2 linked regions of the Nothobranchius furzeri genome follow. The protein of the gene in region 1 interacts with the protein of each later gene in a pairwise test. Links are inferred from orthologs where the notes say so. Each region holds a gene or a part of one and is shown in the gene's direction. Other genes may lie near its edges.

Region 1 (4,160 bases):
TTATTAATTTTCAATAATGTTTAAAGGGATATTTCCAGAGATTAACGGCAAGAACAACCCATTAGCTACATTTACATGCGCCAAATTTCCCCCATCCAATTCAAATTTTGGTTGTTCAGAAATCCCAAATCTCTGTTTACATGGACACTAACTGAAATTATCCGATGCTTTAGATTTTACCTATCACTTTAACTAAGCTAGGCTCAGCGGTACGTAACACCATTTCCTCCACAGAAGAGGGGAGCAGGATAACTTCTGTTCGCCTCCTGTCATGTTTTTGACTTGTCCTGAGCGTCTGCAGAAGCGGAAAAATGTCACGCCAAAGTTGCACACATGCTCAGTGGGCATTACCCCAAGAATCCAAATGAGTGTACATGGACGTCAATTGGAGTGTTGATTGGACAAAATCACCTATCTCAATGGAATTTCATTCCAAATGAGCTGTATCGGATCAGAATATTCCAATTGACATGTTTACGTGAATAATCTTTGATCTTATAGGGCATTCATTCCGATTACTTGTCCCCATGTAAACATAGCTATTGTCTCTTTAAGTCAAACTTACATCGAACCAACTCAAATATAGGCTACATGCAAAAATCTTTGCCATTTTCTTTTATTTCAAAAAAGTATGTGACATTTCTTACTGATACTTCATGGCTATTGTAGGCTTTTTTTTGTCCATTCCCTTGCCAAAAATGTAATTTTGCAATGCTGCAGCTCTCTCAACCGTATTATTTATTTATTTATTTATTTATTTATTTATTTATTTATTTATTTATTTATTTATTTATTTATTTATTCCAAAACACTTTTTTTTAAAACATTCAGGTGGCTGTTATAGCACTCTTAATCAAACCTGGATTGAGAATCTGAAAAAGAGTTTTGGTGAAATAATTGTAACTTGAGCCAACGTTGGGGGATGGGTGGTGTCATAGTTTTCTACAGTCACTGGTTTATGTCTTGTGTTATGGTTATTACATCCTGTTGCAACTGGTCAGAGCTGAAGAACAGATTCAACCCACAAAACGCAAAAAAACAAACAAACAGTGGCATTCTGTTTCAGAAAAACAGTTAAATCTGAAAGGTTGTTGTATTTATCTTGTTGCATAACAAAACACGATTGCGCTGTCGACTTGAAGCTAATATACGGTGTTTTATGTACCACAGGGACACTTCATACTTGCTCTTTTGCTTGTAAACGTGAGATTTTCGTCATCGAGAGTGATTGTTTTGAGTTGTTTTGTCACTTCTCTTAGGAAATACCCGGAAATACCCTAACCATTTCCAACAAAGGAATGGGAGGGAGGAGGGTCAGCCATTGACGTCAGCAGTCTGGCAACAGGCTCGAGCGCGTCCGCTTACCTCTCCTGTAATTGGTCGCTCGGAACGCATTCCCTACGTGATTGGTTGGCTCCGTGCGAGCACGGACTACATAGCTGTGGTGAAGATTCCATTTTGTTGCAATCAGAAACGGAAGGGAGAAGTGGCGTTTCGACGGCCACCGGTAACAGCACACAAGCCTCAAAGGGTGACGGATTTGTAGGAAACATAGACTTCTGTGCTTCCTACACAGTCCACGGAGTGAAATCAGAGGCTAACCACATAAATATTTTCAAAGAAAGGCTTTAACAACCAAGCCTGAGGAAGTCGGTAAGAGAAGCTGTTTTGAGTCTCGTCGCCATGTTGAGTTCCGTTTCTTTTGTTTTGGTTATGTGGCAAAATACAGCGATACGGATTGGGTAGCCGTTTGATTTGTGTTTCTAGCGTTTGTAAATGTGAAATTAGTTAACTAAAGTGCGACTTGCCATATTTTCATCGAACTTTATTAATCAAATTCATCGTAAGTGGTTGGAACAATGATTAATACTAAATGCGTTTTTATGCTATTTTGTGTTTATTTGTTCATTTTTATATCAATAAACCCTGAGAAGTTAGAAATAAGACGACGGGGTGTTGTTTTTGTCTTTGTCATGACGCATTGTGGCGTACACCATTGTTACAGCTAATTAATGCCTTGTTACATAATAAAGACGTGCGTAGCTTTTGTTTTGTATATTATTGTCGCTAGTTTGCGCATCTAAAAAACGCCTTTTCACGCATTTTTAAGGCTCTCGACTTCTTGGAGCATCGTGCGCCGAGGTGAATTGATGTTCAGCTCGGCTTCACGGGAAAACAACGCTCATTGGCACATGAAAACTTCAGACCTTGCTGGACTTCTAAGTGCAGCGAGAAGTAGACAGAGAGCTACTTCGAGGACCTGGGGACCGATCGGAGGTGAAAGATTAAAGAGGGATCTCAGCCACGTCCACTCTCTCACAACAAAGAGGTGAGAGCTGCCTGGCTGGGGGTGTTTTTGCTCTGGGTTGTGTGTGGGGGAGGGGCAGCGCAGCCCTGGACGTCTGCAGCTCCTGCACGTAGCTGCTGCAGCAGCTTGTTTTTTTGTGGAGGGTGCAGTGCAGAGTGCCTTTTACGCAATAACTTTTATTTTAAAAACGAAAATGGTAACGTTTTATAATTGTCTTGCAGGTGACAGGTAGTAGTGAAACATGGGAGGTGGAGAGAGGTACAACATTCCAATTTCCCACCCGGATCGCCCCAAAAAAGCCCATCAGCTTGGCAAGGCTAAGCAGAGAAGCCGTGACCAGAACGGAACCACAGCAGCATCTGTAGGAGGAACGGGGGCCCTTCACCACCACAGCCACCGTCGGAGCGACAAAGGCCCTGCCTACCACAGATCTCCAGAGGCATGGCAGGCCATGTCCTTGGAGAAGAATGCTTCTGTCCGGTTTGCCACCAACTACGAAAGCTGGGAGGGTGCAGTGTCTCATCTTAACACGCTCCTGTCAACCCAGGGCAGCCCGAGCTATGCAGGCCCTAAGTTCAGTGAGCCCCCCTCACCTAGCGTGTTGCCCAAACCCCCGAGTCACTGGGTGTCTTTCCCTATAGCGTCCTGTGACCACAGGGAGATGATGGCCTTCGAGCTCAAAAACCTGCTGAAGGTGCAGGCTTGAGCTGAGTACACACACTTCACCTAACTAGAGCCAATGCTTAGACTGTGACTCTGTTGAGGCATTTGCTCACCAGGAATGCCTCAAAGCTGTAATACACTTAACGTTTTAACAGACATCATCCGTAGCTAAACGTGGACATTTAAAGCAGTGAATTGACGTTGAGTCAATTTCTTTTAAATAGACTTTTAAGCTATTACAGCTTTGCTGCCTTGTTGGTTGGGCATGCCTTAAATGGAGCCAGTTTTTGTAAAACGACGACAAACTGGATTCTTTTTACCTTTTTTTTGTTTTGTTCTTTTTAGAGTTGGCTGTCCGAGCAGATTGAGTGTTCTTTTTTCCCCCCCAAATAGGGGTTGAACTATAGGTCAGGTGACATCCATTACTTTTATGGTCCATTTCTGTGGGCAGCTGAGCTACTTCACTGGTTTTGGTTTTAAGGTTAAAGTCTTTGGAGGGACTTCCAAAGTTTCGGGTGCTAAAGCGAGTTCATGTTTGTAGCATTTTTTTAAGAGCCCCCCCCCTTTTTCTTAGCTAATATATATACCTTGTTTGGAACGAAAAAAGGCACTCAACTGTAGTTCTGCAGGGAAAAATGATATTCTATTGAACGTGAGCTGGTGGATACGGTGAAAGCCTGACCTCGAAGGCTTGAACGAGACCATAGCACATGGACTTCAGACCACCAACTCCTGTATCCCTTTTTTATTGCGCTGTGCGCACACGCACTATAGGAGTTGAGTGTGCCTGAAGTCCGCAACACTATCACAGCATTATTTTGTACAAGTCCTTTTTGATGTGATTGAAAGATATGTGAAGCGCTGGGTAACCAAAGCTTTTTTTTTGTTGACGGCCCCCGTGTGGTTGGCGTGATTCCCACTCCTTTTCTCTTGCCAGCCCCGGCGGTGAATGGGTTAGCATTCCCTAAACATTCGTCTGTTTCGATCAGTACTGTTACTGCCCTTCAGTCTCTGCCTCATCACGACGGTGGCGCAGCTCCCAACGCGCGGAAGAGGGCCTCGTTTTTACGACGGGGTCCAGTTGGGTGCGCGCACGTCTGAGGTGAGGTAGAACCCAGGAGCTTTTCTAGAGGGAAGCAGCTCAAGGGGCGTAACCTATAGCAACGGAGATGATTTGTTTGTTTTCAAA
Region 2 (3,652 bases), on another chromosome or scaffold:
AATGGACTGGGCACATCTGATGTAGGAAGGAATTAGTGGTATGTGTGTGCCTGGTGTGCTTTTTCATGTGTGTGTGTCGCCGCATGGAGGAAGTGGCTCTGGCAGCTGCTGTTTCTGTGGCGTCAGTCCAGCGACACCTGACAACCTGCATCTATCACTACCTTATTGAGAAAGAGGGATAAAGGGAGAAGTGGAGGAGGGCAAAGTGTGGGGCAATGAAACGGAAAGAAGGAGACAACAAGAGAGAGGGAGGGGAAATAAAGGGCAGCAAAACAGATGCAGATGGGAAGATTTTGCATCGTAGTTCATCTCTATCTTCTGTTTCATTTTATTTCTATTTCTAGTTAAAATTCACATATTAAAATCCATGGTGCCAACAATAAAAATGTTGTGAACACATGAAAGGACAAAAGAAAGATGGTACAACAATGGTCGGTCAGGATACAATTCACACGACACTGTGTGTACAAGGGAGGTCAATTATGATGCAGTGTGTGGACAACACACACACACACACACAAACACACACACACACTTCCAAAGAGATTGCAGAGGATTTAGGAGCCTCCTATACATCCTTCATTCACACAAACACACCTCAAAAACATTTGTTGTTCAGCTTGTGTCACAGACTTTAGAAATGCACACACACACACACACACACACACACACACACACACACACACACACACACACACACACACACACACACACACACACACACGCGGATGTTTAAAATTCAGATGTGAAACACACAAATATTATTTCTGACACCATTTCTAAGTTTTAAAAATAATATTTTTATCATGTTACACAGTAGCAAACCACTTTTATTCCAGTGGGGAAACAACACATTGCATTTAACCTACATGCATATAGCTCCGAAGTGGTTCTTTATTTTCAACAAGCAAGGCTCGCCTGCTCCTCTGAAATAGCAAGGCCTTTTACGGAGTGCCCATTAAGCCAGGCAGATTCCATGTCATTAGCACATTTAGCCTTACTGCAAGTGAAGTGTCCCACTTAACAGCAGAATTAATCTGGTCCTCCTGTATCATCAGCGTAGAAGTGCTGGGTGCGAGCCTAACCAGTCCCATTAGTAGCATATATTAAAATGTAAGAGTTCCTTCAGCGTTTAGCATGTTTAGCCTTTAACTAACAAGGCCAATTATTGGGTGTCTTTTAACCCATTAGGATGTGTTTGAGCATTTAGCCTTTTCCCAAGCTAACTAGCGCCTTAATCAGCCCAGTAATGGGAAAACATCCTCTCTACAGCTGCAGTCAATAGTAATCACTGTTTACTCTGTTTCAGTGGGAGATGAATCAGCTCGGTGGGGTGCTGTAGCTGTCAGTTGGGCGCGAGAGGAAGAGAAGCATTTCTGTTGGTTTAATATTAAAGCACAGCTATGATGGTAAAGAAACCCTTTCTGAACAGTCAGGCTGAGGAAGTTTCACCTGCACCACAAATTCACCAAAAGGTTTGGCAACTAGAACATTTTTATAAAGGATTCAGTAAACTATGAGTTTAAAACTAAGATGCTGGTAGAATATTTAACAATGACTAAAGTGTTGCAGTAAAAGAAAAATTTCTAAGAGGAAGTTTTTTTTTAATGGAGACTAAACTAGCTAGACTGAAAGCTGTGAAGCTTGTTAGCAAACAGCAAACCTTACTGTCACACAAATTTAAGCTATGTCCACAGCAACACATCCTTTAAAAAATAACCCAGAGGAAGATTGTTTTAGACCCGTTTCCACTACTGGACCATTCCCGTAATTTTACCAGACCTTCACAGCATGTCTCCCTTTCACCAAGCTAGCTCAAAGGAACACATTCCCGGCCATACCTCCCTCATTTCAGGGACCAAACGAGTACCTGAACTGGGGGATGTTCTCAGAAATGGCCAGGTGGAGTCCCCGCCCAGTTCTTGTGTTTAATTCATTGGTTGCAACTCAGTAGGAAATCATTTTGTCAGATGTCACTGTAACAATCGCCATTTGTCAAATTGGAAAAGTTGCTGGTGAAGCATAATGGAAGTAATTTACATCACACGGTATCTTTCCCAGGTACCATGAAGGGTGATGTAAATGTCTGTGGACTCTATTTGACGTTGATCAGTGACGTCACTCACTGCTGAAATGGTCGTGACATGCTGACGTCCAAGCAAAGTCCTCAAAGGACTGATTTTGTATGGAGACAGAACAGTTGAGCGAACCAAGCCATCGAACATATGTTCCCTGTCACCTTCCTGCCTCCCATAAGTATCCCAGAACTCCTATAGTGGCTGGTTTCAGAACTCTTTTATGCCAACGAAGGACCAACCAATATAGCATAAGGCTAGCTCAGTTTATTGGGTCATATAGATGTGTTTAATAACGTTATTTATTTTGTCTAATCTGTATCAGAACCGGGACTTTATGGGGTTTGTTTGTCTTGCTTCACATTTCTGTTTGAATGCCTTCCTGCCTGTCTGCCTCCTTCTGTATCTATATGAAATGAAACCTGTCCTTGTGTTTTTTTTCCTCCAACATGTCTACATGCAGGGAACATTGAGTACAGCTGTCCAGCCACCAACGAGTGTGAGATCACCAAAAGGAGACGCAAATCGTGCCAGGCGTGCCGCTTTATGAAGTGTCTGACCGTGGGCATGCTGAGAGAGGGTAAGGGAAAAGGTCTCTCCCTTACCTTCTTCTATTACCTTATCATGTTTTTTTTTCTTTTTTATTATTGGTGAAATATATCTGCACCACTGCCAGTCTAAATAGTTTCTGTCATTTAAATGTAGAAAACATAATTCAGGAATGAATAATTTGATTTATTTTATTTTGCTTAGACATGCTGAGGATGAAAACAGCCTCTGACTACATCCTTGTTTTATTTGCCATAAATAAGATAATTTAAGTCCTAAAGTGATACTCAGCAGTCGTTCAGTGGTGTAAACAAACAAACAAACAAACAAGGGGTTTAATTAGCCCGTACAACATTTTGATAAAATACACTCACTCATTTTCACATTCCCTTGTTGCCTTTTGCTTCTTTCTCCCTCTCCTGTCTGCCCACCTCTGACCTTTCTACTCCCACTGCTCTTCCAACGATGAAAAGAGGTAGAGGAGTGGTGAGGGATGAAGAGGAGCATAGACAGAGAGAAGCGGAGATAGGAGGGGGAAGGTGGGAGAAGCCTCGGGGAAAGGGAGGGAAAGACAGAAGGAGAGAAGGAGGGGGGAGATTGATTTATAGGGGCAGAGGAGGGGGACCAAGGGAGGATGAGAGGCAGTGGGAGGATGGTTGAATGAGGCAGAAAGTGTGTGAGAGTGGGGAGAGAAAGGAGAGGAGAGAAGGGTCAAGGTTGTAATTGATGGGAGACCTGCCCTATGCCCCATTCCTTACAGTGGTCAGGGAGCGTGGCTGTGCCGACGCCCTGCCAGGCCTCCCTCCATCCATTGCTGTTTTCATCACTCTCTGCACTTCTCCCACTCTGTATTACTTCGTTCCTTCTGATGCTTCTTTTGTCTGTCATTCGTTCATCGTCCCCTTCAGTCACCACACAAAGTCAACAGTAAAGTACCTGCTGCTATTTGGGAGAAACCGACTGAGTCCGGACTTCAGTACAGCACATTCAGACAGGAAATAACAAACAACCTCAACAGTGCTTATTTT

Evidence for each region.
Region 2: the proteins of pnrc2 (region 1) and esrrga interact in binary tests that used the Homo sapiens proteins (3 or more experiments, as listed by UniProt). The link is inferred for Nothobranchius furzeri from reciprocal best matches to the Homo sapiens genes PNRC2 and ESRRG.

The regions. Positions count from the first base shown.
Region 1 is NC_091745.1:69,954,609-69,958,768, reverse strand, and holds pnrc2 (proline-rich nuclear receptor coactivator 2), read left to right. Parts: upstream 1-1,465; 5' UTR 1,466-1,653; intron 1,654-2,110; 5' UTR 2,111-2,329; intron 2,330-2,529; 5' UTR 2,530-2,549; coding exon 2,550-3,014; 3' UTR 3,015-3,555; downstream 3,556-4,160. UniProt on the Homo sapiens protein: Involved in nonsense-mediated mRNA decay (NMD) by acting as a bridge between the mRNA decapping complex and the NMD machinery. May act by targeting the NMD machinery to the P-body and recruiting the decapping machinery to aberrant mRNAs.
Region 2 is NC_091749.1:33,730,781-33,734,432, forward strand, and holds part of esrrga (estrogen-related receptor gamma a), read left to right. Parts: intron 1-2,538; coding exon 2,539-2,667; intron 2,668-3,652. UniProt on the Homo sapiens protein: Orphan receptor that acts as a transcription activator in the absence of bound ligand. Binds specifically to an estrogen response element and activates reporter genes controlled by estrogen response elements.